Arabidopsis thaliana: one gene and its partners. The protein of the gene in region 2 purifies or fractionates together with the protein of the main gene of each other region. This does not show direct contact. Each region holds a gene or a part of one and is shown on either strand. Other genes may lie near its edges.

What was found.
Region 1: the proteins of AT3G23940 (region 2) and AXS1 fractionate together in Arabidopsis thaliana (co-fractionation; one large-scale study listed by BioGRID). This does not show direct contact.
Region 3: the proteins of AT3G23940 (region 2) and AT2G35040 fractionate together in Arabidopsis thaliana (co-fractionation; one large-scale study listed by BioGRID). This does not show direct contact.
Region 4: the proteins of AT3G23940 (region 2) and AXS2 fractionate together in Arabidopsis thaliana (co-fractionation; one large-scale study listed by BioGRID). This does not show direct contact.

Annotation. Positions count from the first base shown.
Region 1 is NC_003071.7:11,863,248-11,869,993, forward strand, and holds AXS1 (UDP-D-apiose/UDP-D-xylose synthase 1), read right to left. Parts: upstream 3,752-6,746; 5' UTR 3,597-3,751; coding exon 3,321-3,596; intron 3,163-3,320; coding exon 3,070-3,162; intron 2,969-3,069; coding exon 2,861-2,968; intron 2,582-2,860; coding exon 2,467-2,581; intron 2,392-2,466; coding exon 2,258-2,391; intron 2,170-2,257; coding exon 2,068-2,169; intron 1,959-2,067; coding exon 1,866-1,958; intron 1,777-1,865; coding exon 1,641-1,776; intron 1,550-1,640; coding exon 1,437-1,549; 3' UTR 1,030-1,436; downstream 1-1,029. Other genes in the region: HDT4 (histone deacetylase-related / HD-like protein), read left to right, coding at 24-82, 174-315, 411-460. UniProt on the Arabidopsis thaliana protein: Together with AXS2, catalyzes the conversion of UDP-D-glucuronate into a mixture of UDP-D-apiose (UDP-Api) as the main product and UDP-D-xylose to a lesser extent, via a cycle of oxidation and reduction.
Region 2 is NC_003074.8:8,646,484-8,654,210, reverse strand, and holds AT3G23940 (dehydratase family), read right to left. Parts: upstream 5,543-7,727; 5' UTR 5,432-5,542; coding exon 4,904-5,431; intron 4,806-4,903; coding exon 4,734-4,805; intron 4,634-4,733; coding exon 4,586-4,633; intron 4,413-4,585; coding exon 4,258-4,412; intron 4,089-4,257; coding exon 3,894-4,088; intron 3,817-3,893; coding exon 3,705-3,816; intron 3,621-3,704; coding exon 3,551-3,620; intron 3,465-3,550; coding exon 3,406-3,464; intron 3,298-3,405; coding exon 3,174-3,297; intron 3,080-3,173; coding exon 3,009-3,079; intron 2,930-3,008; coding exon 2,828-2,929; intron 2,617-2,827; coding exon 2,536-2,616; intron 2,194-2,535; coding exon 2,035-2,193; intron 1,939-2,034; coding exon 1,888-1,938; 3' UTR 1,606-1,887; downstream 1-1,605. Other genes in the region: AT3G23950 (F-box family protein), read left to right, coding at 47-1,303; AT3G23930 (troponin T, skeletal protein), read right to left, coding at 6,436-6,719, 6,793-7,183. UniProt on the Arabidopsis thaliana protein: Functions in the biosynthesis of branched-chain amino acids.
Region 3 is NC_003071.7:14,763,981-14,771,231, forward strand, and holds AT2G35040 (AICARFT/IMPCHase bienzyme family protein), read right to left. Parts: upstream 4,339-7,251; 5' UTR 4,290-4,338; coding exon 4,182-4,289; intron 4,108-4,181; exon of another isoform or gene 4,089-4,107; coding exon 3,989-4,088; intron 3,892-3,988; coding exon 3,816-3,891; intron 3,713-3,815; coding exon 3,616-3,712; intron 3,460-3,615; coding exon 3,357-3,459; intron 3,250-3,356; coding exon 3,116-3,249; intron 3,020-3,115; coding exon 2,842-3,019; intron 2,757-2,841; coding exon 2,599-2,756; intron 2,469-2,598; coding exon 2,259-2,468; intron 2,189-2,258; coding exon 1,841-2,188; intron 1,752-1,840; coding exon 1,625-1,751; intron 1,519-1,624; coding exon 1,367-1,518; 3' UTR 1,165-1,366; downstream 1-1,164. Other genes in the region: URED (urease accessory protein D), read right to left, coding at 145-378, 513-557, 656-730, 816-881, 967-1,065; AT2G35050 (kinase superfamily with octicosapeptide/Phox/Bem1p domain-containing protein), read left to right, coding at 5,728-7,251.
Region 4 is NC_003070.9:2,572,713-2,579,909, reverse strand, and holds AXS2 (UDP-D-apiose/UDP-D-xylose synthase 2), read left to right. Parts: upstream 1-3,065; 5' UTR 3,066-3,300; coding exon 3,301-3,576; intron 3,577-3,723; coding exon 3,724-3,816; intron 3,817-3,940; coding exon 3,941-4,048; intron 4,049-4,513; coding exon 4,514-4,628; intron 4,629-4,709; coding exon 4,710-4,843; intron 4,844-4,932; coding exon 4,933-5,034; intron 5,035-5,130; coding exon 5,131-5,223; intron 5,224-5,316; coding exon 5,317-5,452; intron 5,453-5,538; coding exon 5,539-5,651; 3' UTR 5,652-6,092; downstream 6,093-7,197. Other genes in the region: AT1G08210 (Eukaryotic aspartyl protease family protein), read left to right, coding at 1-91, 232-476, 818-1,045, 1,433-1,595, 1,797-1,870, 1,953-2,046, 2,334-2,400, 2,482-2,553 and 1 more; VPS41 (vacuolar protein sorting 41), read right to left, coding at 6,768-7,197. UniProt on the Arabidopsis thaliana protein: Together with AXS1, catalyzes the conversion of UDP-D-glucuronate into a mixture of UDP-D-apiose (UDP-Api) as the main product and UDP-D-xylose to a lesser extent, via a cycle of oxidation and reduction.

The DNA of each region.
Region 1 (6,746 bases), on a different chromosome or scaffold from region 2:
CTAACTTTGACATTGTTGAAAAGCTGCTTTGCCTCAAAATGAGATCAATCCTGAAGAAGATGATGAATCCGACTCAGATGAGGTAGATTTTTCTTTTAAGTATTTACTGATTAGCAATGAATCAGTATAAAAAAAAAGGTAATCTTGTTGTTTTTTTCTGTATGTTTGGTTAGATGGGTTTGGACGAGGATGATGACTCTTCAGATGAAGAAGATGTAGAGGCTGAAGCACCTTTAAAGGTGGCTCCTCCGAGCAAAAAGATGCCAAATGGTGCATTTGAGATAGCTAAAGGTGGAAAGAAGAACAAGTCATCAGGTAACGAAAACTAAAGTTAAGATATATAAAGATAACTTTGCATATGAGATGAGAATTGTGGATTATTGATTTGGTTTAAAACCATTTTGGTGCAGGAGGGAAGAAGAGATGCCCATTCCCTTGTGGTCCCTCTTGCAAAAAGTAGAAGATATTTGCACACCAAGTCACATTTTTCCAATAGAAATTTTTACTTGACTGTATTGGTGAATCGTTGAGTGACTTATGAGGCTTTTGGCATCTTAAAATTTTTGGATTATTATAATATATGTTATGTTGTCATTTTGGAGTGTTAATGGGTTTAAATGAAATATGATTTTTGCTCTTTTCAAGTTCATAAAATTTCGAAGTTGCTGGCTGATTCATGATAAGTACTATACAATGTCGATATGTTATGATCTAATCTTGATCGCAATACTAAGTAGATGGAGTATATTAAATCAGAAATAGTTGAACTAGAATATGCTCTAACAATGTATTTTATGTACATGAGTTAGAAAGAAAGAAAAAAAGACTCATTTTCTTCTAGTTTGCTTTGCCTTCATTGAATTAAAAATTCAGTGAAAACAATTCAAAATATAAAAATAATGATAATGCGTCTGCCGGGAGTCGAACCCGGGTCTATTGCTTGGAAGGCAATTATCCTAACCGTTGGACTACAGACGCTACTTGTGATTTATATATTACAATTTAAAAATAAAATCGAATTTAATTGTCGAGCGTTCCAAAACTACTAGACTTTCTTTCATACTCTGTAGTCCACTTGTTTTTTTTCTGAACGAAACACAATGTGTTACTTGACAGAAGATAATTACATTTGTTCTTGTACTTGTACACATGTAAAACGAAGCATTTTAAAATATACACTCGAACATTTATCATTCGCTACAAACGATTAACCTCTTGCTTTCTGACAGCTCCGACATACATGGCCAAACAAACCAAACAAAAAGAGAAAACTTACAAACGAAAAGGTATACTTGGAACGAACCACCGTGATTATATCGTTTTCTTAAAAAGAAAAAAGAAAAAAAGTTTTCTCTGGGATGAAAAAAATAGAATCGAATAGAGTAAAATGCCAAAATGACGCGTGTTTAACGAGTTTCGTTGGGGTCTTGGAGAGTTTAGGAAGCCACTGGTTTGGATGTTGCCTTCTTCACAGCTTCAGCGTATGTCCTGTGCTGGTAGGTTAAGGTCGACTCGAGCAAGTCCCATAGCGATGTTTTCGGGTTCCATCCTATTTTCAAAGTCCAAAATTCTATCAGAATAGCAATTGATTTTGATTTTAAAGCATATTATCTATCATGTTGGTGATTATGAAGAATTACCGAGTTGGCGGTTAATGATGGTCATGTCTGGGATTCTCTTGTCACTGTCATCATAACCTTCCCCGTAAAACTCTTTGGAGCTAACATCAACCGTTGGGCTCTCAATGGCTCCTTCTCCACTCACTTTTGCGTAAACCTGAAACATGATTCGTTTTGAGAATTGAGAACCAGCGACAGAGAAATCAAACTATTTTCATAGTTTCCTAACTGATCCATCTTCCTCACCTCGGTCATCATTTCAGCGAGCTGTCTTACTGTAACTTCGTTGTTCGGGTTGCCTACGTTGAAGATGTGCCCATTTGCCCTCTCTGGGTTTTCCTGAACCACAAACATACAATGTCATTATAGGTTTTAGTTGAAACTACTTCGAACTTCTAACATTAACAGTTTGTAAACAAAAAGCTATATATCAGGCAATGGAACGTACAATCATCAAAAGGACAGCTTCAATAGCATCATTGATGTAGACGAAAGTTCTCTGTGATTCTCCACCATCTACAAGCTTGAGAGGCTCACGACGTAGAAGATTCTGAAAGATAGATAGAGATGCATTAACTAAAAGCTTGCATATATACACAGACTAGCATTGGGTTATATACTTGGATTTGAACACTTACGTTACTAAAGCAGGCAAGGACACGTGGGACACCTTCGCTAGGACCATCAATGCCGGGGATGAAATCCATCCTAGGTCCAATCCAGTTAAAAGGTCGTACGATGGTGAACTCAAGCCCATTCTCAGCACCCTCAGCTGTCACAAGAAACAAGTGAAGTTAAGTGTAAACCTTTTGTTTTTACCAACATCATCTTAAACAGAAATGCTTACCGTAAACAAGTCTCTCAATCAGTTGCTTTGCACACGCATATGACCACCTCTGCTTCTCAATTGAACCAAATATGCAAGGGGAAATATCTTCTTTAAGAACATAGAAAGCAGGATCCTGTAGAAAGGCACAACAAACAACATCAGTAAACAGTGAACCCAACCTTAGACGAATAATATCAACTATTCCAAGCTTCTATGGGTGTGTGATAGACTAGCGGACTAAAGTCTTAATTCAATTCAAAAATACGTTTAACGAGATCCAATGAGTAATTCATAATGTGGCTATTAAAACGAACGAAAACGTCAGCTTCAACATGTTCCTCAGTACATTCATCGATGAGATTGATAAAAAGACAATAACATGTGGAAAGCGAAATGTACAAAAAGGCATTACATCACGCAGAGGATGATCCTTAGGAAGAAAGCTTCCAATGGTTTTTCCATAAACTTCACAGGTAGAAAAGTGAATGAGACGCTTGTTGTTCTCAGAACAGTATTTCACCTAACAAAACCAACGCATTACACAATCATCACTGTCTCCATCAACTTCAAAAACAAGAGCTAAAGCAAAACAATGAACGAAGCTAAGAAGAAAACACATACAACTGGAAGCGCATCAATGAAATTGCTGTAGATAGTATCAAGAGGACGTGTATTGTAATCAGCTGGAGTACAGATCGCAGCAAGATTTATAATCTGCGAATCCAAAAAGAAACATCAGAATTACATCACAACATCACCGATCTCAATACATTGCGAAACATCTGAATTCCGATAACGAATCAGATCTGAGACTTCTATCATAAACACCGAAGAACAAGAGATCAAAAAACGAAATCGATAAGCATTTTTACCAGATCCGCCATCTTAACAAGACCTTCAAGTCTCGAATCATGCTTAATATTGATACGATGAAACTGGATCCGACCACTCCATTCAACGGTATCAGGCTCAAGCAAGTGTTTGATCTTATCGTTGTAAACATCGAGCGCAAGCACCTTATGTGGCGTCTCGGTCAAGAGCTTTTCACAGAGATGTGAACCGATGAAACCTCCGGCGCCGATCATGCATATTGTCAACGGTTGTATCGGTTTCCCGTCGAGATCCACTCTATTAGCTCCATTCGCCATTTTTTTTCTCAGATCAGAAAAAATAATCAAGTTCTCTGTAGAGAGAGAATCTAAAGAGGAAGAGAGAGTGGTGACGGTGGATATTTAAGAGAGAAGATGCATCGCATGTGAACGGAGGCAAATTGGTTCGTCGAATTTTGAAATCTCACTCTCTGTATCGGCGCGTGGTGTGTACTCGCTTCCACGTGATCTCGTTTAAATTGGAAAGGATGCGATATTTTATTTGTTCGACTAATCATTTTGTATGATTATTAATTATGAATGTTTAGTAGTCTAATAATTGTGTTTAAGAGTTAAGAAAAAACTTCTTTTTAACTAGATAAATCGTTCTTTGTAACTTTCGATTTTTTTTTTTGGGTAAGCCAAGGGAGACAAAGTCTCCCAAGATTTATTAATGAAAAAGAAAATTACATTCGCACTTGACGTGAAACCGTAGCTCCACTAGTGTCATCCAACAAAATAAAACGTAAAGAATCCGGAACCAAACTAAGAGAATGAAAACCTAATGGTAACGAAAATGCATAGTTGGCTAACCCGTCAGCAAGACGGTTAGCTTCCCTATAAACGTGTGAAATACGGACTCTCCAGTCCCTTGATATGAAGTCATGGCACAATCGTACCAGGAAAGACAGCGGATGTACCTCGTTTATCCCTATCTTCAAAAAACCCACAACAATCTCTGAGTCCACCTCAATCTCTAACCGTGTGACTCGTCGCTCCCAAGCAATGTAGAGGCCATAGTACACTCCCCATAGCTCTGCCAAAGGTGCTGAACAAACTCCAATGTTCAGAGCAAAACCTCCTCTCCAAGCTCCTTCCTCATCTCGTAGCACACCACCAGCAGACGCTAAACCCGGATTACCTCTGGAAGCCCCATCCGTATTAAGTTTCCACCAACCTTCCTCGGGTTTCGACCACGCGATCAGTCTTTCCACCCGTTCTCCATGACCCCCACTCAGTGTCCTGACTATCACATGAGCCATGGACGTCTCCCTAGCCAGATCCTTTAAGAAACGCACCCGATCTCGACATTTGTCTTGAACACCAAAAATGTTGCCACACCGCCATTTCCAGGCCCACCAAATAGACAAAGCAAATAAAGTTGACCAAGTACTCTCACAAGTCTTCCGCCTATCACCCAGATTAGCAAACAACCACTCCAATAACGATTGTGTAAAGAACTCTCGGCGCTTACCCGCAGGAACTAAGCGGATCCAAATGCCTTCCATAGCAGGACAATCACGAAGAATATGTATGATTGTTTTTTCAGCTCCTTTACAGATTTGGCAAATGTCCGAATCACTTAGATGCCTCCTCCTCCTCTCAGCATTCGTCATCAGAACTTGCTGCATTCCAAGCCATAGGAAGAGCCGCACTCTCTCCGGTACCACGACTTCCCATACTCTCTTGTAATTTCCGATTGATATCAAGTCAAATTATTAATTTTTATATTGAAAAGACATTTGGAGTATTTTTTTTGGGTTATTATTTCTGATAAAATCAAATTTACATTGAGAAGAATGGCTTTGGGGAATCAATACAAAAAGTCTTTTCTACGTAGAAGAAAACTTGACCCAGCAACATTAGAGATTCCATTTTGCATTACGAAACTTAAACTGGTTAGGAAATAATTTAATTATTTGCCCAAAAAGGGAAATAATTTAAACAAAATATGATTTTATTGACGTTATTTTAATTAAGCTTCAGTCTTAACTCTTAACTCTTAAGTAGTTTCTTAAATAGTGTGTCAAAAAAAAAAGTAAGTTTCTTAATACTGCTTCTAATTTGCATGTCGTAGTATCAGAAGTTTTTTCAACAAAAAAATCATTATGAAGAGAGTTTATATGAATATCGCTAACCATTATGTGGAATTGTGGATAATGGATAAATTTTGAGAACTAATTGGATTCATGTGTTGCCTCACAGTGAGCTGACGACCGTTCGATCATTGATATACATACACATATGATGAAAAAAAGATGCTAATTTCTCGTTGCTTTTTTTTTTTGGTCTTTTCAAAAAAGGATTGAGACAAAAAAAGAAGAGAAAAAATGATGAATAATTAGGTACCTTTCCGAGAAGCAAAACCCTCGAAACTCTCATCAAATATCCTAACCATACCTTTCTTTAAAATTTGGATTTTGCACAAATCCATTTACAAATTTAATTACTTTTTCTTTTCGTAGGTATATATTTATTTATACCTTTATAAATATATAACTTTATAGGAAGAAGTATCGTATAGTACTACTTCCTACTCGCTATACAATAAATAATACAATGCGAGGTTGTTTGTTTCTTATCACAAAGTTGTACCCTATGCAACAACATTCATATAATCATCCTTTTCCCGAGCATTTTGACTGATCAATGCTTCAGTGCTTCTTCATTATCATACAACACGTTCCAACCAAACTTGAATCATGTATTTTTCCCAAATCCCAAGTTACACCTAAATGATACCAAAGATTACAAATACAACTAAACATACTCCTAGTTTTTTCTTATGGAAAAGGAAAATTAAGAACACTAGTTAGATGCAAACAAATAAAAGGAGAAAACAATAAAAATATATATATATATATATGAGTGTCCGAATCGAACGAACTGAATAATGTGGAATAAGTTTGATTCGGGATAGGTTTTGTTTTCTGAATAATCTGCAAAACTGACAAACCGAAATCGAATAAACCGGTCGGCTCAAAGTCTCAGGTTTAGATATAGCCCAAATATGATTGCAAATCACTTAAAAGTTATACGGACACCACTATTTGATCAACATAAAACCATGTTCTACAATAAAGATTTAAGAATTTTAAAAATGGGTTGGATTGGCCTGAAACTGGATTGGAAAAATTGGTATTTCTTCCTTTAACTAAATGGCACACGATCAATTTCTAATTTCTCCAAAAATACCATTTCTTTTGGTATTACTAGGTACTAGCCCATGAAGATAAAAGAATTCATTTTACTTTATTTCATTCTAGTATATTTCTTGAACAATTCTAATGCAATTTCAATGTCTTGACTATACTCTTGATCCTCCAATCGAATCCACAAGATTTTCTACCAAAACCGCTTTACGACTTACACCTCAATCGTAACCATCCATGAACTTAATTCGGCCAAAATCGATTATTCTATTTGGCA
Region 2 (7,727 bases):
ATTTCATTTCATTGGTTATGTGTCTTTTTTTTTTTTGCATGCAGAAATGAATATACCACCAGAATTGACCTTTGAAGTTTTGGTGCGACTTCCATTGAAGAGCCTCGCAAGATTCAGATCAATGTGCAAAGAATGGAAACTGGTCATCGACTCCGAATTCTTCCGAGATTGCTTCATGTCTCACAACTCTTCCTCAGTCTCATGGTCAATCATCCAAACGAGACCTCACAAACTGACACTTGAAATCGTTGGTCACCATGGATGCAAAACATGGGGACTTACTCGTTCTCCCGGATCTTTAGTGAGTTTCTTTGCCGAGACCACAATCAGGAAACTACAAGTCTTAGCTTGTACCGATGGGTTGGTCCTTCTTTACGTAGAATCTTGCGTTGGAACTCCTATGTATTACGTTGGTAATCCTTTGTTTCAAGAGTGGTTTCGAATCCCTCTCCGTCCTAAATACACTTCTCAAAATGTTGAGAAATTAAGGAACCACGAGCGTTTCAGCGACAGTGGATTGGTTACAAAGATGCAAAGTGGTATTGTTGTGAGTTACAAGGTTGTGTGGTTGATCGCTCACACTTTTGCTCAAGTCGATTTTGCGATTTACTCATCTAACACAGGGGAATGGGAAATTAAAAATGTGACTTGTCTTCATTCTGCCTATTGGTTTAGTCATCACAAGTCCATTGCTTTAAATGGGATTCTTCATTGGCTTTCCAACCTCACCGGTTCTTTTTTAGCTTACGATTTCTATGGAGGTCATCATGATGCGTGTAGTATCATTTATTTCCCCGATAATGGAAAAGATTACGAGTTACCGCGTTTTCGGAGAACAATCACTACCTCGGAAGGGTCTATTGTGTATTTCAACGAGTTTGGTGGGAACGCAAACCGCAAAGTACGGGTTTGGAGGCTGGTCAAGTACACTGATGGTCCTGAGGCGTGGCAGCTCTTTTGGGAAGCCAGCTTGGCGTCTGTGACCAAGCTAGGTATCGATTACTTCCCGGTGGTGATGCATCCTTTGAAGTCTGAGATCATCTACTTGTGGAGCAGAAACAAGAAAGGTATGGTCTTGTTTAACTTGAGGACGCATGTGTTTAGTCTTCACAAGGAATCCGAAGACGAGAGGAAGTGTATGGATGGTTGCACCTTGAGCTTTAACTGGTGCAACGAGTATATGGAGACCGTTCATAGATACTTTTCCCCATCGTTTCAAGGTGGTCCTAACCTTCTCCTCGCTTCACAGTATGTTCTCCCTCGTTGGTTGTCCCGTCTCCCTCGTCCACAGCCTTCTAATTAGTTTATATTGATTCTGTTTTAAGTTTGATATCAAATTTCAAATGTGAATGATTTTACAATTCTGTGAGATGTCATGCTCGAGCCTTTGAGACAAATACTTGCACCTTGATATAAATTGGTCGAATCAAATATTAATTACCATGCTCGAGTTTTACTATTCTTATGACCCTTATGTTGTCTCCTACAGAAACGAGAGAAAGACGATGAAAAGACTTGAAATCCAAGGAACCCAAGCCTTTAAGGTTAGTGGATTTCACATCTTTCTAAACCATGTAGAGAACGTCAAGCTTATTCACGCATAGCTGGTTTGCCACATTGGCTCTTAAGTTCAATCTCATAGACAAGTATTTATGCAAATCCGTCTTTATTCTGTCTTTATATTCTTTGGAATTCGGCCACAATCACAAGTTTTTATTTTGACATTTAAGAGAAACAAAATCTTAAAAACGAACCCTGCAAATAGCTAATGATCAGTCACAAAGTAACATGATCTAGAAGCTACAATAAATAAACTTACAAATTCCCTCATGAACGTACACTACATTCTGCTGCTCATTCACAAAACTCTCTCTTAGATCGTTCACTTTACTCGTCAGTCACACATCCATCTGAAGCCGATTGCACGTTCTTGATGTACTGTTTTTAGAATATCATAAACCATTCATTAGAAACTAATCCATCAGATGTCAAAGAGACATACATTATATAGATACAAGTGGATTCGTATAGTACCTTATATAGGACTCCGCGGTTAACCTTGTATGCAGGAGCAGTCCATTTCTTTCTACGGTCATTCATTTCTTCGGGTGAGACTTGTGTGTCTATTCTCTTCTTTCCTATGTCAATGGTGATTATGTCTCCGTTCTTGATCAGACCGATCGGACCACCCTCCTGCACAGATAAATAGTAAGCACACCGGAGAATTGCTTTCAGCATTATTATCTTCACATTCTCCAATCACATTAATATCAGTTTTATTATTTGAAATATTCCAAAATCATCATAACTGCATAAGAGCCACCACAAACTATTACAGGATCCCTTGACCCTTGTTCCTTTTTGCTAAAACTATATATGACTATGACCCAGTAGCATTTATTTTTCAATACACAAGAAAAATATCCCAGAAGAGGGACATGGATCTATCAAATTTATCTTGCAAGTGCAAAATTTAGAATTTTGCTCTGATGGAGCCAGTGGGCAGAGAGAAAAAAAAAAGGGAGAGAGAGAGACCTGAGCTTCAGGGCAAATGTGGCCAACAACAAAACCGTGTGACCCACCAGAGAACCTACCATCAGTCAGTAATGCACATTCCTGCATCACCCAATAGCAACATATTGGCACTTTATATAAGGTGTGTTCTCGGATATGGACAAAGTAGATAAAAAGATTTAGGTCACTACCATAAGCATAATATAGTCAGACCATATCAAAGGAAAAATAACGAGTTCTTTAATTTAGAACATAAAAATTGATCAGACTTAATAAATGTCTCACTAACCCAGTCATACTGGTCATATCATACCTTTCCAAGACCGGCACCCATTATTGCACTTGTCGGTGTCAACATCTCAGGCATACCTGGACCTCCTTTAGGCCCCTCTCCTCTGATAACAACCACAGTTCCCTGAAACACGATACATTTCATCAGATAAAAGATATATAACCAGCTCCTGAGATGAACTTCATATCAGAAAGGAAATTACCTTAAAACTCATTGGGTCTGCTGATATAGCAGCCAACATAGATTCCTCTCCTTCAAATACAAGTGCAGGACCTAAAATAAATAGTTCCATCATATAAGCCCTAATATTCAGAAGCATTAGCTAAATATGGAGTGTAAAGGAGGTACTAGAGTGAACCAACATTACCAGAGAAATATAAGCCCTCTTTGCCGGTAATTTTTGCTACAGAACCATCTGGTGCAAGGTCTCCTCTCAAAATTTGTATGTGTCCAGTCTCCTTGATTGGATTTGACAGAGGTCTAATTATCTCCTGGAACATTATCAGAATTAATTAGAATCCTGTATAACTAACAACCATCATAATCAAGAAGAAACAGGCGGTAGAATCTAATGAGATAACTAATAACATTACAAATACCTGCCCTTCTGTTAAGCTTGGGACGTTTTCTAAATTTTGAGCCAAAGTCTGCCCTGTCACTGGTAGAGATACAAAAGCGTAGTTATGCCATTTCACATCAATCCAAATTGCTAAGTCAGTTTATAAAATGTTTGAGCATTTCTACCTGTCATACAATCACCATCCATCAATCCTAGCTCTAATAAATAGCGGAGAACAGCTGGCGTACCACCTATCTGTAGATTAAACAACAAAACTTACAAACTGACCAATAAAAAAACAGATAAGTAATAAGCAAAACGATTTCGCCAAAGCCTTACCTTATGTATATCCTCCATAACATACTTCCCACTGGGTTTAAGATCTGCTAGAAATGGAACCGCATCGCTAACTTTCTGAAAATCGTCAAGAGTCAACTCCAAACCAACAGACCTGAAATCATTTCCATTCATTACTTCGGTCCATTGCTTTCCATGGTAATAATAAGAAACATCATAACAATCTGTCACCTTGCAATAGCAATTAGATGCAATACTGCATTTGTCGATCCCCCAAGGGCCATGACGGAAACCATTGCATTACGAAGTGATTTTGGAGTGATAATGTCACGGGGTTTTAAGTCCATCTTTAGCAATTCTAGAAGATATTTTCCTGCTAAGCGACACTCGTCCAACTTCAATGGGTCTTCAGCAGGTATTGAAGAACTTCAAAAAAAAAAGAAGAAGCAAATATATGAACTTTTGAAATAAGCATTCCACAATTACAGTTTAGGATCTACAATGTTCTTGTGGAAATAACTTTCTATTAAGCACAAATCTGGGAAAACGTTTGAAGTTGATTTATAAATGTGGTCTTCAGGACTGAAAGCCTCACCTGTAAGGAAGGGACATTCCCATTGCTTCGATAGCAGAAGCCATTGTATTCGCTGTGTACATGCCACCACAGGCTCCAGCTCCAGGACATGAATGATGGAGGACAGTCTTTCTCTGTTCATCACTTATGGAGCCACTAACAAATTCTCCATAACTCTGAAATACAAAATTGGAAAACATGATGAATCCCACAAGTACTGGTACAATTTGACACCAAAGTCACCAAGATTTCTGTAACTCAATCCCAAAATTGGAAAACTCAATGAAGTCTCATAAATACACATTAAAATTGTTATAACCAAGCTCGTAGCAGATAGAAGAAAAGATACCTGGAAAGCAGATACAATGTCATATGTCTTGTCTTGAAAATGGCCAGGCTGCAATAATATCAAAGCAAGGTGAATAGGCTATCCAACTAGGCACAAGGGTTTAGGGTTTAAGAAACTATCTTCTCATCAATTTGATAAAAGTAAGTACCTTAATGGTTCCACCATAAACCATAATCCCTGGTCTGTTAAGCCTTCCCATAGCCATAATAGTTCCAGGCATCTAAAAGTATTACAACAATAACATTATAGCAAACAAATCACATAAAACATGGAGATAAAGACAACACAAAGATCGATGATTAAAAAAAAAAAACTCACATTTTTATCACAACCGGGAATAGATATGTTACCATCATACCACTGAGCACTCATAACAGTCTCAATACTATCAGCAATCAAATCCCTAGATTGCAAACTAAAACACATCCCTCTCGTTCCCATCGAAATAGCATCACTCACACCAATAGTATTAAACCTAAACCCAACCATTCCTGCATTTTCAACTCCTTCTTTCACAGCCTCAGACAATTTCAGCAAATGCATGTTACAAGTGTTCCCTTCATACCAAACCGACGAGATACCAATCTGGGGTTTTAGCAAATCGTCGTCTGATAAACCAACACCGTGAAGAATTGCTTGAGACCCACCTTGGGATTTGGGTTCAGTGATTCTTGAGCTGTATTTGTTGAGCTTATTGGTGTCAGTGATAGGTGGTGAAGGATCAGCGGTTACGGATTGGGCGGAGCAGGAGATGATTGAGGGACGGCGAGAGTTGACATTGTGGGAAGGGAGGAGAGGTTTACAGGGGAAGAGAGTGGCGCGTGGAGAGAAGATGGTGGCTTGCATGACGGCGCGAGGAGGAAAGGGTTTAAAGAAGGGTTTTTTGGCGGCGCAGTGCGTGTGGAGGAGACACTTCAAAAGTGAAGACTTTGTGAGAGTGAGATAAAATGGTCAGGACTCTGAATTCAGATAGATACAGAAAAATAGGTTTTTTTGGTAATTTGTGAAAACGCTGTCGTTTAGCATAATTTGGGAAACAATTTGGTTTAACTCGCTGGTTTGGTATATGCGATTGCTTAAATAGTTATAATTAGGGGTGCAATAACCGGTTATTACAATTGTAGTGAAATAATTGGGTTAAAAATGGAATTGAAGACATAATAAATGGTTTTGGTTTCATATTTTTTTCATAATCAATATAGTAATAGAGATCAAACCAAGACAGAAAAAGAAGTAGAAATAAACCAATTAGAATTGTTTTTTTTTGTTAATGAAATATTGCTAAAATTAAATGCCGTAATCGAAGCAAAAATAAGAAATAAACCAACTAAAACTTCTTCTTTTTTACTACGGAAATTAAAGTAAATTTTGCTAAAAAGGATAAAACCCTAGCAGAAATCAAAATTGTACCAAACCGAACCACATGATATATTTCTTGTAGGATTCACTTCTTTATCTCATCTAACAAAAATTTGATAATTTTCAGTAACCGAACCGGAAGTTGGACATTCTTAATTAGAACTAGAAGTTTCTTGGGCTATAAAAAAGCAAGTGGTGTTTTAGACTTTTAGTGTCTAGTAAGTTTTTTTCCACAGTTTCTGTTCTTTGGAAAAATGGTTCATTATCATTATTGCTAAAGAATTGTATCTAACTCCAACAAAAAAAAAAAAAAACGATTTGTGCAAATCTTTCATGGGACATGTGCTTTTTGAACTCATAGTGCTATGATTTACTATATTTCCAAAATAAAAATTGTAAAATAACCAAAAGAGAAATAAATATGACATTGTGGATCAAGATTCTCTGACGAGATATGACTGTTTGCAGAAGACTATTTGAGTAAAAAGTGTTTATGTACATTCGACACATTTGGTCTTCAATATCAACAGATTCATTGATGCGAATGATCCTGTCTTCTTTTTCTTCTTGCTTCCAAGAATCCTTAGACTCTGTCTCAATAAGTCAATCTCTCTTTCTTTCTCATACTTTTGTCTATCCATCAAAACTATTTGCTCTTCAAGTGTCTCAACTGTCTCTTCTTTAACTCTAACTTCATCTCTCAATACTTCAACTCTCTTTGCTTCTGTTTCTTCTTCTTCTTGTTCCTCAAGTTTCCTTTGCATGATTGCTTCTCCTACAAACACACACTTTAAAGATCCTATTTACTTTTTCTAATTTTAAGTTGAAATAAGTTGAGTTTATTTTACCGGAGGAAGAAGTAGTGTGGGAGATGAGATGATCAAGCTCATTCTTGATAGCTAAATAGAGTTGTTTCCATTTCTCAACGGCTTCATCTCTCACTGCTCTCTCTACACACATCTCCTCAACCACCCACTTCCAATACTCTCTTTCCTCTGTTGTTGTTGTCTTTGCTTCTTCTCTTTCCTCTAGCTTCTTCCTTAGTCTTCTCACTTCCTCTCTCAGCTTCTTCCTCTCTTTTCTCCACTCTCTCTCCGCCTCTTTAAGCTGAAGAAACATCACTTTCTCTCTCTCATCTCTCTCTTTTATCAGGTGTCTTCTTCCTCTGCTTTGGTCTTTTGATGTCTCCTTCACACTTCTCACACCTCTCCTCTCTTGCTTGCTTGTGCATCCACCCATCTCTAATCCTTTTGGACACTTCTTCTTCTTCTTCTTATAACATGAAGAAGAATATGTTAATGAAGGAGAATCTCACTCTATCTCTCTGAAAGCTGTGTTCTTGTTTTATTTATGATGTAAAGAGCCTCTCTCCTACATTCAATGAAGAGAAGTCAAAATTGTATATGAAGAAGCTCCACTAGTACTACTACACTACCATTTATATATGGCCCTTTCTAAAAAGAGCATCTCAAAACAGTAACCTCTCTAGCTTTACTTTTTCACTCACTCACAAGTGTAAACACACTACAGTAAAAAAAGTGAAACTAAAAATTTGGTGGAATGGATGGAATAAATTAAGAGAGAAGTGATGGGAGATGTCAGAAGGGAAGGTGGAGAATTTTGTTAGAAGATAGGTTTAACCGTTTAAGGACATGGAAAACTACAACACTAGATTCTCATCCTTTACCACAATTAATGGTGTGGGCTTTCATTGTTTTTTTCACATGGTCCATCATCAACTATTTGGACCCATCCCTCTCTCTATACTCTATATAACTCTATA
Region 3 (7,251 bases), on a different chromosome or scaffold from region 2:
AATAAACCATTACCAAAGGAAGATCTAACCACGCTCATGAATGTTCTATCAATACTTCATACACGATTTGCAAGCGGGATTTTACTTGGTTTAAGGTAAACCATTCTCTACAAATCTGAAAGTGGGTATGAGATTTTAACTAACTGTGTCAAGGAATAAAGGGTGATCATCTTCCAGGTAGACGTTGTTGATGCTCTTATAAAACTCGAAATCCCATTTTTCGCCATTAGCGTGACGCCCGCTTGTGATCCAATCCACAAGGACCAGATTGGAATCTGAAAGCAATCTAAAGATCTGTTTCTGATAGTACCGGGCAGTGGAGAAGCAAGTCACTGGATCTGGTATCACAACCAAAAGAGCTTCACTCCCGATTCTCGCCTACTGCACACAACAAACCGAAAGATCAATCAGGAACATGAATCAAAGAAAATGGTCCTATTCTATTGCAATAGCACTCTGTTCTACTAAGAAAGCTCAAAATGATTTTAGTAGAAATGTGAAAGAAACATTACTTCCAATATCTGTTCAGAACACTTTGATCCTATTGCCTTGTACACCTGTGTGAAATCACAAGATCCATCAACAGAAAGTCAACCACGTAGGATGAAATTAGTGTCCATTGCAAAGAGAGAGAAAAGCCCTAAATTGATTCAACCTTAGTAGAAGACTGCGTTGTAATAACTGCAGTGCATCCATCACCAATTGTGAATTCACATGAAATCGAATCGCCCTACATAATTTGAACAAGAACTAGATTGATTCAAGCGCATCGATGGCAAATTCATTAATAAAGAGACAGAGAAATAGGGAAATACAGAGACAATGCCGCCACCATAAGTGATACTGTAAATCCAGACAACGTCAGTTCCAGCAGGAGCTGCCTGAAAGTTCAGTGTCGCCGGAACTTTAATAACTAAAGATTGAAAATTCGAAACTGTGAACTCTACGTAGAGAGAGAGAGGAGACCTTGCTAGGAAGTAAGAACTTGAGAGGATACTTCGAGAAGCAGCTCGTAGCTGTAGATCTTCCTCCCACTTTCTCCACCACCACTTTCCCTGTCGCCATCTCTGATCTCTCTCCACACTGTCGTCGACTTTCTCACTCCAGTTTGAGTAGAAATGTTGAATATTTTATATGCAAATCTCATCAGTTTCTGGATGTAGAGAAAGATATGATTTTGGGTGAAAAATGTCAAATTTATAAGTAGGAACAGCTCTCAGGTTCTAATCATACATAAACTCGAACGCAATCCAAATTAATGTTACAACAGTTTTATTTCCCACTCTTTGTGTTTTGTTTGGTGGGTTTTCTTCTTCAGAAACTCTCTTGGATGTGTTTATAAGAGCAAAACTGGAGGGATGTGTCCTTAATGGCGGAAATGTCTAACGTTGGTGAAGAGCAGAGAGACTCCATACTTTTTGCAGCAATCAATAGCGTCTTGGTCTCTAATACTGCCTCCAGGTTCTGCTATCACTCCTATTCCCATCTGGCACGCCTCTTCCACCGCATCTTTCCAAGCTGCAATTCACACAACAACAAATTTCCAATTCAGAACGGCTAACATTTGTTGATTGATGAGTCATTTCAGACAGAAGAATGGTTTCGGAGAGAAAAATATATATACCGAATGGGAAGAATGCGTCACTGGCCAAGGCAGCTCCTTTAGCTTCCTCCCCAGCTTTCTTGAAAGCTATTCTCAGACTCTCTACTCGGTTTGGCTGTCCGCTTCCCATCCCCAGCATACAATTGTTCTATGAGCCAACCCAAGAATCAGAATAAACTACTAGCAAACAAGTACAGAAAGAGAAACAAGAAAAGGAATCAGAGAGGAAAATCCAACCTTTGCTATCACAATGGCATTGCTCTTGACATGCTTAACGCAGAGCCAGGCAAATTTTGCATCCGCAAGTTCGCTTTCAGTCGGAGTTTTGTCTGAGACAGAATTGAAGCTGATGTCTTCTGGAGTTAAATCGTCCGAGTCCTGAGCCAACCAGCCGCCACCAACCTGTCTGAGCGATAGTTTCCCTTGGTCATTCTTTTTAGCTTCGAGGATCCTCAAAGTTTTTGATTTCCCTTTGAGGACTTCAAGACCTTTAGCAGTATACTTTGGAGCAACCACGATTTCATAAAACATTCTAGTTTCCCCGTCTGTTGGGCTCCTGAACTCTCGGATCTCCCTCGCAAGAACCTAGAGACAGTTACAGATCACTAAACAATTGAATAATGTATGGGACAACAGTAGTTTGACTTTTGATTACCTCGTCAACTTCAACATTGAAAGCTACAATGCCACCAAAGGCACTAACTGGGTCAGCTTTTACAGCTAGCCGGTAAGCCTCAAGAATATCATCACGAGAGGCCACACCACAAGGATTTGTATGCTTCACGACTACACATGTTGGGTTTTCAAATTCCGACACACAGTTCCATGCAGCGTCAGCATCAAGATAGTTGTTGTATGACATTTCCTGCTCACAGAAATAAATAGAAAAGTTAAACATAATAAGGCTTGAAAGCGAGGATAAGGATATAAATGGCAGTTTAAAACTATTTGCTCTGTAAATTACACCGGACAGAAAAAGTAGCATACTTTCTTACCTTTCCATGATGCTGAATCGCTGTTGCGATACCACCGGCATTCACTTCAGCAAGGCTCTTATCAACATAAAATGCAGCTTTTTGATGAGGATTTTCACCGTAACGAAGAGAACTCTTAAGTACAAGCGGAACTGTAAAGCTGGGAGGGAACTTCTCTTCTGAGAAAGACATGAATATCAATCAATGTAAGTTGCCAATTGCCATAACTAGTGTAAGGAGGATCACATAAAAACAATCACATACTTCCTTCAGTCTGCTTCCATAGCCATTCTGAAACCGCAGAATCATATGCAGCAACATGCTGAAAGGCCTTCCACGCAAGTTTTCTGCGGAATTGTTGGTCGCTCTGTCCTCCTTTGAGATACTCCAAAACAGCTTGATAATCTCCTGAATCGACAACAATGAGAACGTCTTTGTGGTTCTGTTGAAAAAACAATAGAAAATATACATTTATAATCTTGAAAATAATCTTGCAAGTGTAAAGAAAAAGTCTCATATGCACAGATATATGTATTACCTTAGCAGCTGCTCTAATCATAGCAGGGCCACCAATGTCAATGTTCTCAATCCCATCCTCAAAACTGATCCCACCTGGAGCAGTAACTTTTTCATAGAACGGGTACAAATTGACAACCACAACATCAAATGTACCTGTCATAGAATTAAAAAAAAAAAAGGTACAGTTAAACATAAGGAGACACTATAAATGACTTAGTCTCAAGCTTAATGTAGAGGATCAATCAAAGGTCAAAACTCACCAATCCCATGCTCATTAAGAGCTTCCATATGATGCTCCACATCCCTTCTAGCGAGGATACCACCATGTATGTTTGGATGCAAAGTTTTCACACGGCCATCAAGCTTTAAGAGAAGAAAAAAAAAAAGGAGAGCTAAGTTTAATATACTAAACTCAACAAAACAATGGTATAAACCAAAACTTAAATATAAATATCAGCGAGATCACAAGACCAAAACTTTTAGCAAGAGCAGCGAGCATAAGAGAAAAGAAAAACATGCCATTTCTGGAAAATGAGTAAGCTTCTCCACTTTGGTCACAGAGACTCCAGCATTCTCCAAAGTAGAGGCAGTTCCTCCAGTAGAAACAATAGTGTATCTACACAAATATCAATGAAAAAAGGAATCATTTACATATAAGATAGAAACAAAACCAAAATTTGTATAGTTCTAAGTAAGAGAGAGTTGTGAAGAACACATACCCCAATTCTTGCAGACCGTTGCCAAGAGAAGCCAAGTCCCTCTTGTCAGATAGAGATATCAAAGCTTGCTTCTCCCCTGATTCAATTAAAGCCCGATTATTTGAAAATCACTAAAACGTAACTGAAAATCGATCACTGAATTTGAAATTGCAGCAAAAAGAAAAATTGTAAACCAGAGGAGCCTGAGGATTGCGGCTGATTCCTCTGAGCAGTCTGAGACTCTGCCATGGCTCGAACAGCAACGAAACTTGGACACAGCGACGTACGATAGACCTGCTCATTGAAAATTCCACTAATATTAAAAAGTTTAGCAGAACATGAAACAAAGACACAAAGGAACACGTCCACACACAGAGGAGAACTCACAGGCTGAGTAAAACGAAAAGGCGCGACGGATTTTTTGCGAAACAAGCCGCAGAGAATATCGCCGGAGCGAGCACTCACGGAGGTGGCGGTGGCGGCTGAGCTGAGCATAGTAGTCTGATTTTGAAACAGTGTGTAGTGTTGAGCTCTGTTAGGTTTTGTGATTTTGCGGCTAATTTTGGAAATAAATTAGAAAAAAAAATAAAAAAAAAAGGAAAATATGTAATTTATTATTGGCGTCAGGTGGAATTATGTATTTATTATTATGGCCTTGACAGTTAGATTACACCTGGAATATTTGGAAAATTGGAATAAAGCTTCTCTTTTTATTTCCCCCAAAAATAAAACTAAACTATTTTAACTCCAAATTTTAAAAAATTTAGTAGAAACCAAAATTCTCAAGTGTAAACTAATTAGTAAGAAATAAAACTTTATTGGATCAGAGTGGTAATATTACAAAAGACTAACTATGGAGATGACGAAAGCTTCTTATGTTTTATATGATATTTTATTTGCTTTTCAGAATTTTAAATAATGTAAGTAGATAACAATTATTTTATTGGTAGGCATAATAGTTTTTTTCTCGAGAATATAGTTTTGTTTTTCGAATTGTCAAAATTAGAAGAGAGATTTTAAGGAAGGACTTGGCTTCTTCTCCTACTCATCGATCGTCAAACCGAGGACGCTTCACAGTCTCTGGTGCCGCCTTTCCTGGTATAAACCTTTTTCTCTACTTCTCTCCTTCTTTGCTTACTCGTCTTCCTTTTAGGTGTATGCTGTTTTTGAATTTTGATCATTATTATCGAAAATCTCTGGATCCGATGTGTTTCCACCTGAATTTCGGGTAATGATACTCAGATCTTGCATTTTCTAGAGTTTCAGTGGTTTTGATGGCTTGATCGGCTTTTGTTTTTTGGTTGGGTAGAGGTTTTTAGCTCAGTTTTTGGTTCGAAATGACGCTTATTTGTTTCCTTTTTGAGGTTTGGAATTGTTTCACGGACTTGATTGAATTTTGGATTTAGTTCTATGTTTTGATCTGTTGATTTACACTCTCTCAAAGTTACGATGGGTTTGCTAATAGTTTGGTGAAGTTGATCGATTTTAGTTTCAGCGATTCCTGTTAGTTTAAACTTGAAGAGACTAGAAAGTAGTCATTTTAGCTAGTTTCATGTTGGAAAGTATGCACAGTCAGATATTTGTACTGGATGATCTGTCCCTGCTAGAGTAAAGAGTTTTATTGGTTTGTATACCGAAAATGTTCCTTAAATAGTATGGTTTTCTGAGTTTTAGCCGTATGCTATTTTGGTTTTTTTGTTCTTGAATATGTTTGACTACTTGAGTAAAGTTACTCTTCTCCTATTTCAGGCACCTCAATGAGAGTTTGAGTTGTTCATGATAGAAGTCGTCCTGTTCTGCAGCCAAAACGTTAGAAATTTGCGAAGGATGCTTATGCAAAGATTTTACTTGGGTCATGATCATGATATGTCGCCTACAAGCGTTTGTGAGGGAGCTTATGAACTAGATAGATAGACACCTTGAGAAAGAAAACATGGATCAAGCAAAAGGTTATGAACATGTTCGGTATACTGCCCCTGACCCTAGAGATGAGGGACTTGGCTCCATTAATCAAAGGTTTTCCCACGACTCTTCAACTAATGTTAACACTTATGTACGACCTCCAGATTATGGTGTTTCAACCCCTGCTCGGCCAGTGCTAAACTACTCAATACAGACCGGTGAAGAATTTGCTTTTGAGTTTATGAGAGATAGGGTTATTATGAAACCGCAGTTCATCCCAAATGTGTATGGTGAGCACAGTGGTATGCCTGTTTCTGTTAACTTAAGTGCTCTGGGAATGGTTCATCCAATGTCAGAGAGTGGCCCTAACGCTACAGTGCTTAACATAGAAGAAAAACGTCAGAGCTTTGAGCACGAGAGGAAACCCCCTTCTAGAATTGAAGATAAGACCTATCATGAACTGGTCCAGTCAGCCCCAGTTATCTCTTCGAAAAATGATACTGGTCAAAGGCGTCATAGTTTGGTTTCTTCTAGAGCTTCTGATAGCTCTTTGAACCGTGCGAAGTTCTTGTGTAGTTTTGGTGGTAAAGTTATACCCCGCCCCAGAGATCAGAAACTTAGGTATGTAGGTGGTGAAACGCGTATCATACGGATTAGCAAGACTATTTCTTTCCAAGAACTCATGCATAAAATGAAAGAAATATTTCCTGAAGCACGCACCATAAAATATCAGCTGCCAGGAGAGGATCTTGATGCCCTAGTCTCTGTATCTTCTGACGAGGATTTACAAAACATGATGGAAGAATGTATCGTGTTTGGTAATGGAGGATCTGAGAAGCCCAGGATGTTCTTGTTTTCAAGCAGTGATATAGAGGAGGCTCAGTTTGTTATGGAACATGCAGAGGGTGATTCTGAGGTTCAGTATGTTGTTGCTGTCAATGGGATGGATCTAAGTTCACGGAGAAGTTCCCTTGGATTAAGTCCTCCCGGGAACAATTTGGATGAACTACTTCATGGGAATTTTGATAGGAAGATCGATCGGGCTGCTACAGAACCAGCAGTGGCTTCGCTTACTCCCTTAGCAGGTAATGAATCTTTACCAGCGAGCCAAACTTCTCAACCTGTAACAGGATTTTCTACTGGAAATGAGCCATTTTCACAGCCTTATCTAGGACAACAATTGCAGTTCCCCGGACTTGGTAACCACCAAATTTACACGTCAGGTCACATGGCAAGCATAGGCTATATAGATGAGAAGAGGTCTGCTCCTTTACATGTTCAACCACAACCTCATTATATCCCGTATTCTGTGAATCCTGAAACACCTCTTGAAAGCCTGGTGCCCCACTATCCACAAAAACCTGAGCAAGGATTTTTGCGTGAGGAGCAGATCTTTCATGTACAAGATCCAGAAACTTCATCAAAAGAGGCCAAAATGAGAAGAGATGACTCATTTCAGAAGGTAAATGATCATCCTATATCTACTGTCGAGAGCAATCTTTCAGCAAAGGAGCCAAAGATGAGGAGAGAATCCTCAACCCCAAGGGTCAATGAG
Region 4 (7,197 bases), on a different chromosome or scaffold from region 2:
AGAATTTAATGTTCAAATTGACACTGGAAGTGATGTTTTGTGGGTTAGCTGCACTTCCTGCAATGGCTGCCCCAAGACTAGCGAACTCCAAGTATGTTTCTTGCTAACTTTCCTCTATAGCATATTAGCTTTTAAAACATTTTCCTCATGGTCTTGGTTTTAGCTTTATGATTTGTCTAAATGATCACTTGTTTTCCCTGTATTTTGTGTTTTTTTTTTTTGGATTTTCAGATTCAACTAAGTTTCTTTGATCCTGGAGTGTCATCCTCAGCTTCATTAGTTTCATGTTCAGACAGGAGATGTTACTCAAATTTCCAGACAGAATCAGGCTGTTCTCCCAACAATCTCTGTTCCTATTCGTTTAAGTACGGTGATGGAAGTGGCACTTCTGGTTACTACATCTCAGATTTCATGTCCTTTGATACTGTTATTACCAGTACCTTGGCTATAAATTCCTCTGCTCCCTTTGTTTTTGGGTAAGCTAACAGCAAAGAATTGTGTATTTACGTGGGGTTTATATATATGTACATATCCCATAGGTTTTATCTTGCATTTGGAATCCCCTTTCGATAATGATGATTTCTTTAGTATGGTGCATTGCCTTCTCTAAATTTAACTAATGACTGCATCTTCGGGGGGGAGAAAATGTTGGCCAAATGAGAAACAATATTTCTGCCTATCAAATACACTCATTAGTTTTATGTTTAAGTAATTAACATCTACCAGGAAGTACAATATGATCTAACTTCCAAATCATCTTTTCTGTACTGTTTCAACTTTCAAAATATGTGATGCTTGTCTTCAATATTGCTAACAGGTGTAGCAATTTACAATCTGGAGATTTACAGAGGCCTAGAAGAGCAGTAGATGGCATCTTTGGGTTAGGACAAGGGAGTTTATCAGTAATTTCTCAGCTTGCTGTGCAAGGACTCGCGCCACGAGTATTCTCGCATTGTCTGAAGGGAGATAAAAGCGGTGGAGGTATAATGGTTCTAGGTCAAATCAAGAGGCCAGATACCGTCTATACTCCTCTTGTTCCATCACAGTGAGTTCTCAATCTTTCTATTATACATTTAAACTCTTATCATATTACGTAAAGAGAAGCACAGGTAGATTTTGGGGTACTTAACATCATGATGAATCAGACTTCAATGTTAGGGTAGGATTCCTAGATTTATTTTTGTATAAGACAAGGAGGTAGATCCAGGGTTTAACTGATGATTATGAAAGTCATTTACACAGATATAAATGCGAGAGTTGTTACAATATCTGCTATATCATTCTGCTTGTAGGAATCATATGATCCAGAAATAGACATTTTGTAGCTGACTCTATGGAAATAATATGCAGTTCGTATATCTTGGGTTAGGAAAATCAAAATATATAAACCCACGTCTTGATTCAGATAATATGCTGCAAAAAAATATTTCAGGCCACATTATAATGTGAACCTGCAGAGCATTGCTGTGAACGGTCAGATATTACCGATTGATCCATCTGTTTTCACAATAGCCACTGGTGATGGAACGATAATTGATACGGGAACGACTCTTGCTTATCTTCCCGACGAAGCTTATAGTCCATTCATCCAAGCTGTGAGTGTTTTTTTCTTCCTCAGTTCACCTTCAGCTTTTTCAGTCACCAAACCGTGTATACCATATTCAGTAGTTTTTGCCATTGTTGAAAGTATCTGTCCTCAAATGTTACATTTTTGGAATGAAATTACAATTCGATGTAGACGATATATGTTATTAGACCTTACAAAAAAGAAGATTTATAAAACGTTCAACCTGCAGGTTGCAAATGCTGTTTCGCAGTACGGGCGTCCCATTACCTATGAGAGTTACCAATGCTTTGAAATCACAGCTGGGTAAAGTTCTTCTCATGTGTATGTATATATAAGAAGCTATTATCTCCTATGCTTAAGTGCTAAAAAGATCTCCATGTTGCAGTGACGTTGATGTCTTTCCCCAAGTTAGTTTGAGCTTTGCTGGTGGTGCATCAATGGTCTTAGGACCCCGTGCATATCTTCAGATTTTTTCTAGTGTAAGCATATTCATACACTTACACTACTTCATAAATTGTCTTTTAGTGTGTCAATGATAAGCTTTGAAAAAGTTTAGCTGCTCAACTCTTAGCTATACGTCTACTATATCTAGCCTAAGACTGTATCTAGCAGATTAGAGGTGTTAGGGGTTTGTAAGCGAGCCGTTAGTGAGGGCTGGGACGTTGGGTTTATAAGGATGTCTCAACAGATTGTTTTGGGTGTGGATTTCTCTTAAGGTTTACAGTTTGAAAAATTTGATATGATAATTTTTCTTTTGCTATTTCAGTCAGGAAGTTCAATATGGTGCATTGGTTTCCAGAGAATGTCTCATCGTCGTATAACAATTCTTGGTGGTAACTACTCTTGTTTGTTAACTCAATCAAGTGAAACTGTAACAGTGCAGCTATTTTTCTCAATGAGTGATTGCTTTGCAGATTTGGTTCTTAAAGACAAAGTGGTGGTCTACGATCTAGTTCGCCAACGTATTGGATGGGCAGAATACGACTGTGAGTGTGTTATCTATTTTACCACAGAGCAATAACGAAATTGGAATACAAATGCAGATAATGAAATTCCATTCCAGGTTCTCTGGAGGTGAATGTTTCAGCATCAAGAGGAGGACGAAGCAAAGACGTTATAAACACAGGACAATGGAGAGAAAGCGGTTCGGAGAGTTTTAATAGAAGTTATTACTTGTTACAACTAGTAGTCTTCCTTGTCCACCTTTTTGCTCGTTTCTTGTAGTAGCTTTTAGCATTCACTCCACCAATTATGGTTGGACTTTGTAAGCTTATATTATTGTAATTTAATCACACTAATTAATTCTTACTTACCCACCCACCACTTCTCTCGTTTCTCTGTTTAATCAACCTCCTATCTACCACTAAGGCCACCGACGAATTAGCACAATTTTACATGTCGGTGTAAAGCAACAAACATACCCAAAAAAAAATTGAAACTATATACTGTAGTTGTAATCTACTAGTTTTAAAATAGATTTCACGTGAACAATCAGCAGATTCATAATAATTGACTTAAGAGAGAATATGACACGTAACGAAAACATTAATTTCACGTGGTGGGAGTAATGTGCAAGGCTGTGAGAGTGTAGGGAACATTATTATACGCCTTTAAATATCCATCTCTCATTTCTTTCTTTCTTTTCTCCCATTCTCACAAATCTCTCTTCCACCCATTGTTATCTCTGTAGAAGCGTGAGAGAGATCACGCGTGTTCACCGACACAATCAAAATATGGCGAACGGAGCCGATAGATTGGATCTGGACGGTAAACCGATTAAGCCGATGACGATATGCATGATCGGTGCCGGAGGTTTCATTGGCTCTCATCTCTGTGAGAAGCTTATGACGGAGACTCCTCACAAGGTTCTTGCGCTTGATGTTTACAATGATAAGATCAAGCACTTGCTTGAGCCTGATACCGTTCAATGGGCTGGTCGGATCCAGTTTCATCGTATCAACATTAAGCATGATTCTAGACTTGAAGGACTGATCAAGATGGCAGATCTGGTATTTGTTCTTCGTTTCTTCTTAGTAAATCGTTAATGTGAAAATGTTGAATGTGAAGACTCAGATCTGATTCGTTATGTGAAATCGAATTTCGAATTGTGGATGTCTTGTTTAATTAATCTGTTGTTGTTGTTTTGGATTTTGCAGACGATAAATCTAGCTGCGATCTGTACTCCAGCAGATTACAATACGCGTCCTCTTGACACTATCTACAGCAATTTCATTGATGCTCTCCCAGTGGTATGTATTTTATGCTTTTGCAGTTTGTTTGGTTTAGTGGAGCAATTTTGTAAGTTTGAGGAATATTTTTATGTGATACGGATTTTAGTTGTGACATTGAGTGGTCATTGGTTTTGGTATGTAGGTTAAATACTGCTCAGAGAACAACAAGCGTCTGATTCACTTTTCCACTTGTGAAGTGTATGGAAAAACTATAGGAAGCTTTCTTCCAAAGGATCATCCTCTGCGTCAGGTCAGTATTTTTCTCCCTTTTTCACTCTGATCATTTCATTTGTCTTATGCATCACTTTTTGCTGATTGTCGTTATCAAGAGGATCAGGAAACTATGTTAATTATGTACATTGGCACACTCACTTAAGATTGATACGGAAATTTATATACTAATGCAGTTATTGTTGTTATATGAAGTCTTGTTTACTGATCTAAAGAGTAACGTAAACTTGTTATAATAAGCCTATCACTATCCACTTTAATAGTGTTTGTAATATCGAGAAAATGTAGTTTGTTTTCCTGCAATTACCTGAGTATGGCTTTGAGCCCTAACTACTGCATGAGAGTCTTTTGTTTTACTTTTTGCCTTACTTTCTTATGTCAAGTAGATATTCGTTCGTGTCACGTGGTTCTTATTACTACTTTTGTCTCTGTGTTTTGTTATTATTTCACTACTCACCAATGATGCTCGTCTTGTTTACTACAGGATCCTGAATTTTATGTACTCAAAGAAGATATATCCCCTTGCATCTTTGGTTCAATTGAGAAGCAGAGGTGGTCATATGCTTGTGCAAAGCAACTTATTGAGAGACTTGTTTACGGTATGTAGTTTTCTTACACGAAAGAAATTTTTTGTTTCTAGACACAAAAAAGTTTCTCACGTCACTTTTTTCTGGTTGCAGCTGAGGGTGCTGAGAATGGACTCGAGTTCACCATTGTAAGACCATTCAACTGGATTGGACCTAGGATGGATTTCATCCCTGGCATTGATGGTCCTAGCGAGGGTGTCCCACGGGTTCTAGCGTGCTTTAGTAACGTAAGTATACAGGCTTAGTCCAATGACCTGAGTTCTTCTCATGGCTGCAGCTTAACTTTTTTGTTTAACTTTTTGGTGGGTATTTTCAGAATCTTCTGCGACGGGAGCCTCTCAAGCTTGTGGATGGTGGAGAATCACAGAGAACCTTCATCTACATCAAAGATGCTATCGAAGCTGTCCTTTTGATGATCGTGAGTTTCATTCATTGCTTATCCCTGGTGATATATCGTTTGTTTTTATATTATTAAAGAAGTTGCATCTGAATTGCTTGCGGAATTCTTTACCAGGAAAATCCAGAGAGAGCCAATGGGCATATCTTCAATGTAGGCAACCCAAACAATGAAGTGACAGTGAGACAACTTGCTGAAATGATGACTGAGGTGAGAAAAATTGGTCATAGATAAGAATCTGAGTGATTTTCGATAAAACTATTATAGCACACGCTCAAATGTTGCAAAACAAAAAATGGACAGGTCTACGCCAAAGTGAGTGGAGAGACAGCTATCGAGAGTCCAACGATCGACGTGAGCTCCAAAGAGTTTTATGGAGAAGGTTATGATGACAGCGACAAGAGAATCCCAGACATGACCATCATCAACCGTCAACTTGGTAACTTCCTCTTTTCTTGTCTGATTAGTCTTTTCTAACAGTCACAATGTTTTTCTAATAAATACTCTGGTGTGGACAATAATTAGGATGGAACCCGAAGACGTCGCTTTGGGACTTGCTTGAATCGACCTTAACATACCAGCACACGACTTATGCGGAAGCCATTAAGAAGGCCACTTCAAAACCAGTCGCATCTTAGAGGTCGTCTCTCTTTACAAACACCTCAAATCATGTGGTGGCTACGATTCCATTCTTTCTTTTTAAAAAAAAAATTCTCCCAACAGAAACCTTCTCTTCCCTTATTTTAGGCCATTCTAAACAAATGATATATCATGGTGGTTGATTCTAGTTTACGTTTTCCTTGTTATATAGTATTACTGTTAATGTTTTTGAATTCCTTTGTTTTGAAGCTTTATATCTTGTATTTGTCCGAAACTAAAAAGGGAATGGTTTGTGCAAACTATAACATTGGGGCTTTCTTTATATGTTACATATCTTTGGCGGATTCCACACTTCACTTCTATATCTGCCTGGTTGTAATAAACGAGTTAGTTTGGCTTTTGCTCGTGTTGCTGTGTTATGTGAATATATACCTTAATTAGAAATGCCTAAGGTCTGTCTTTTTTTTTTGCCGTCTAAACATTTTTATTAGAAACATAGAATAAAATAGTACTACAAAAACAGAGCATTACAGCTCAAGAAGAAAAACAGAGCATAGGTGCTCATACACTTATAGAAAATTATTTACAAAATTTGTTTCCCAATCTATATTTCAGAAAAAAAACGTACTCATAGGAAACGGTGAATTAGCTATCATGTATTTAAAAAAAAAAAAAAAAGATGACAAGATCGCCGACCAAAACAAAAATAAGATCATAAGATCAAAGAACAAGAGAGCTGTCACATATATTTTACTCTCTGCTAAACGACAAACAACAAGAAGCAGTACACTGAAAATGGAATTATCGGAAATGACGATTTTTTTGTAGATCGAGGACAGAGGAGCCAAAAAAAAAAATGTAAATGTTTCAGGTATGGGCTTAGAAACTAAGCGTAAAGAGAAGGAAGAGAAACAAACTTGGCCTTTGTAAAAAACTCAAAGTCAATTCAATCGTAACACTTGGCCACTCATCGGGAAATAATACAAAGGCACAAATTCTGGCACACATGTTTTCTCCATCTCTCGCCTTTCTCTTTTTGCTATATTTTAGAGAACTACAGAACAAACAATGAACATTTTCTTCTTTAAAAAAAAATATATATATGTTCGAAGCACACCAAAAATACTTCACAAACACATGCACAAAAGGGGTCGCTACCGAGCGGACGCAGCGGCGGCAGTAGTACATAATATGCACCGTAAACGCGACCGCCCAGGTCTGTCTCCATCACCATCCTCATCTTCTTCCTCATCCTCTTCCTCCTCATCCACACCGTTATCGTAGCTATATTCATACCCCGAAGAACCTTTGGTTGTCTTGTGATTGTTGTTACTGAAGGCTGCATCCATGAGGCACGTCTCGTGGTAAGCATGGCAGCAGAAGAAGACCACTACAGTGTCCCCTCTTATCGAGACCGGGTCGAAGCACATACAACACCGTGTGTCCCCCCGTGTCTTCGACTTCACTTCTGTCATCTTTATGCTCAAAGATTTATCTACTACCATTCTCTGCGAGAATGATGAGCGATTATTGTCTTCTCTCTTCGCACGGGAATCGTCGTCTTCATGGCTCAGGCAGACCCCA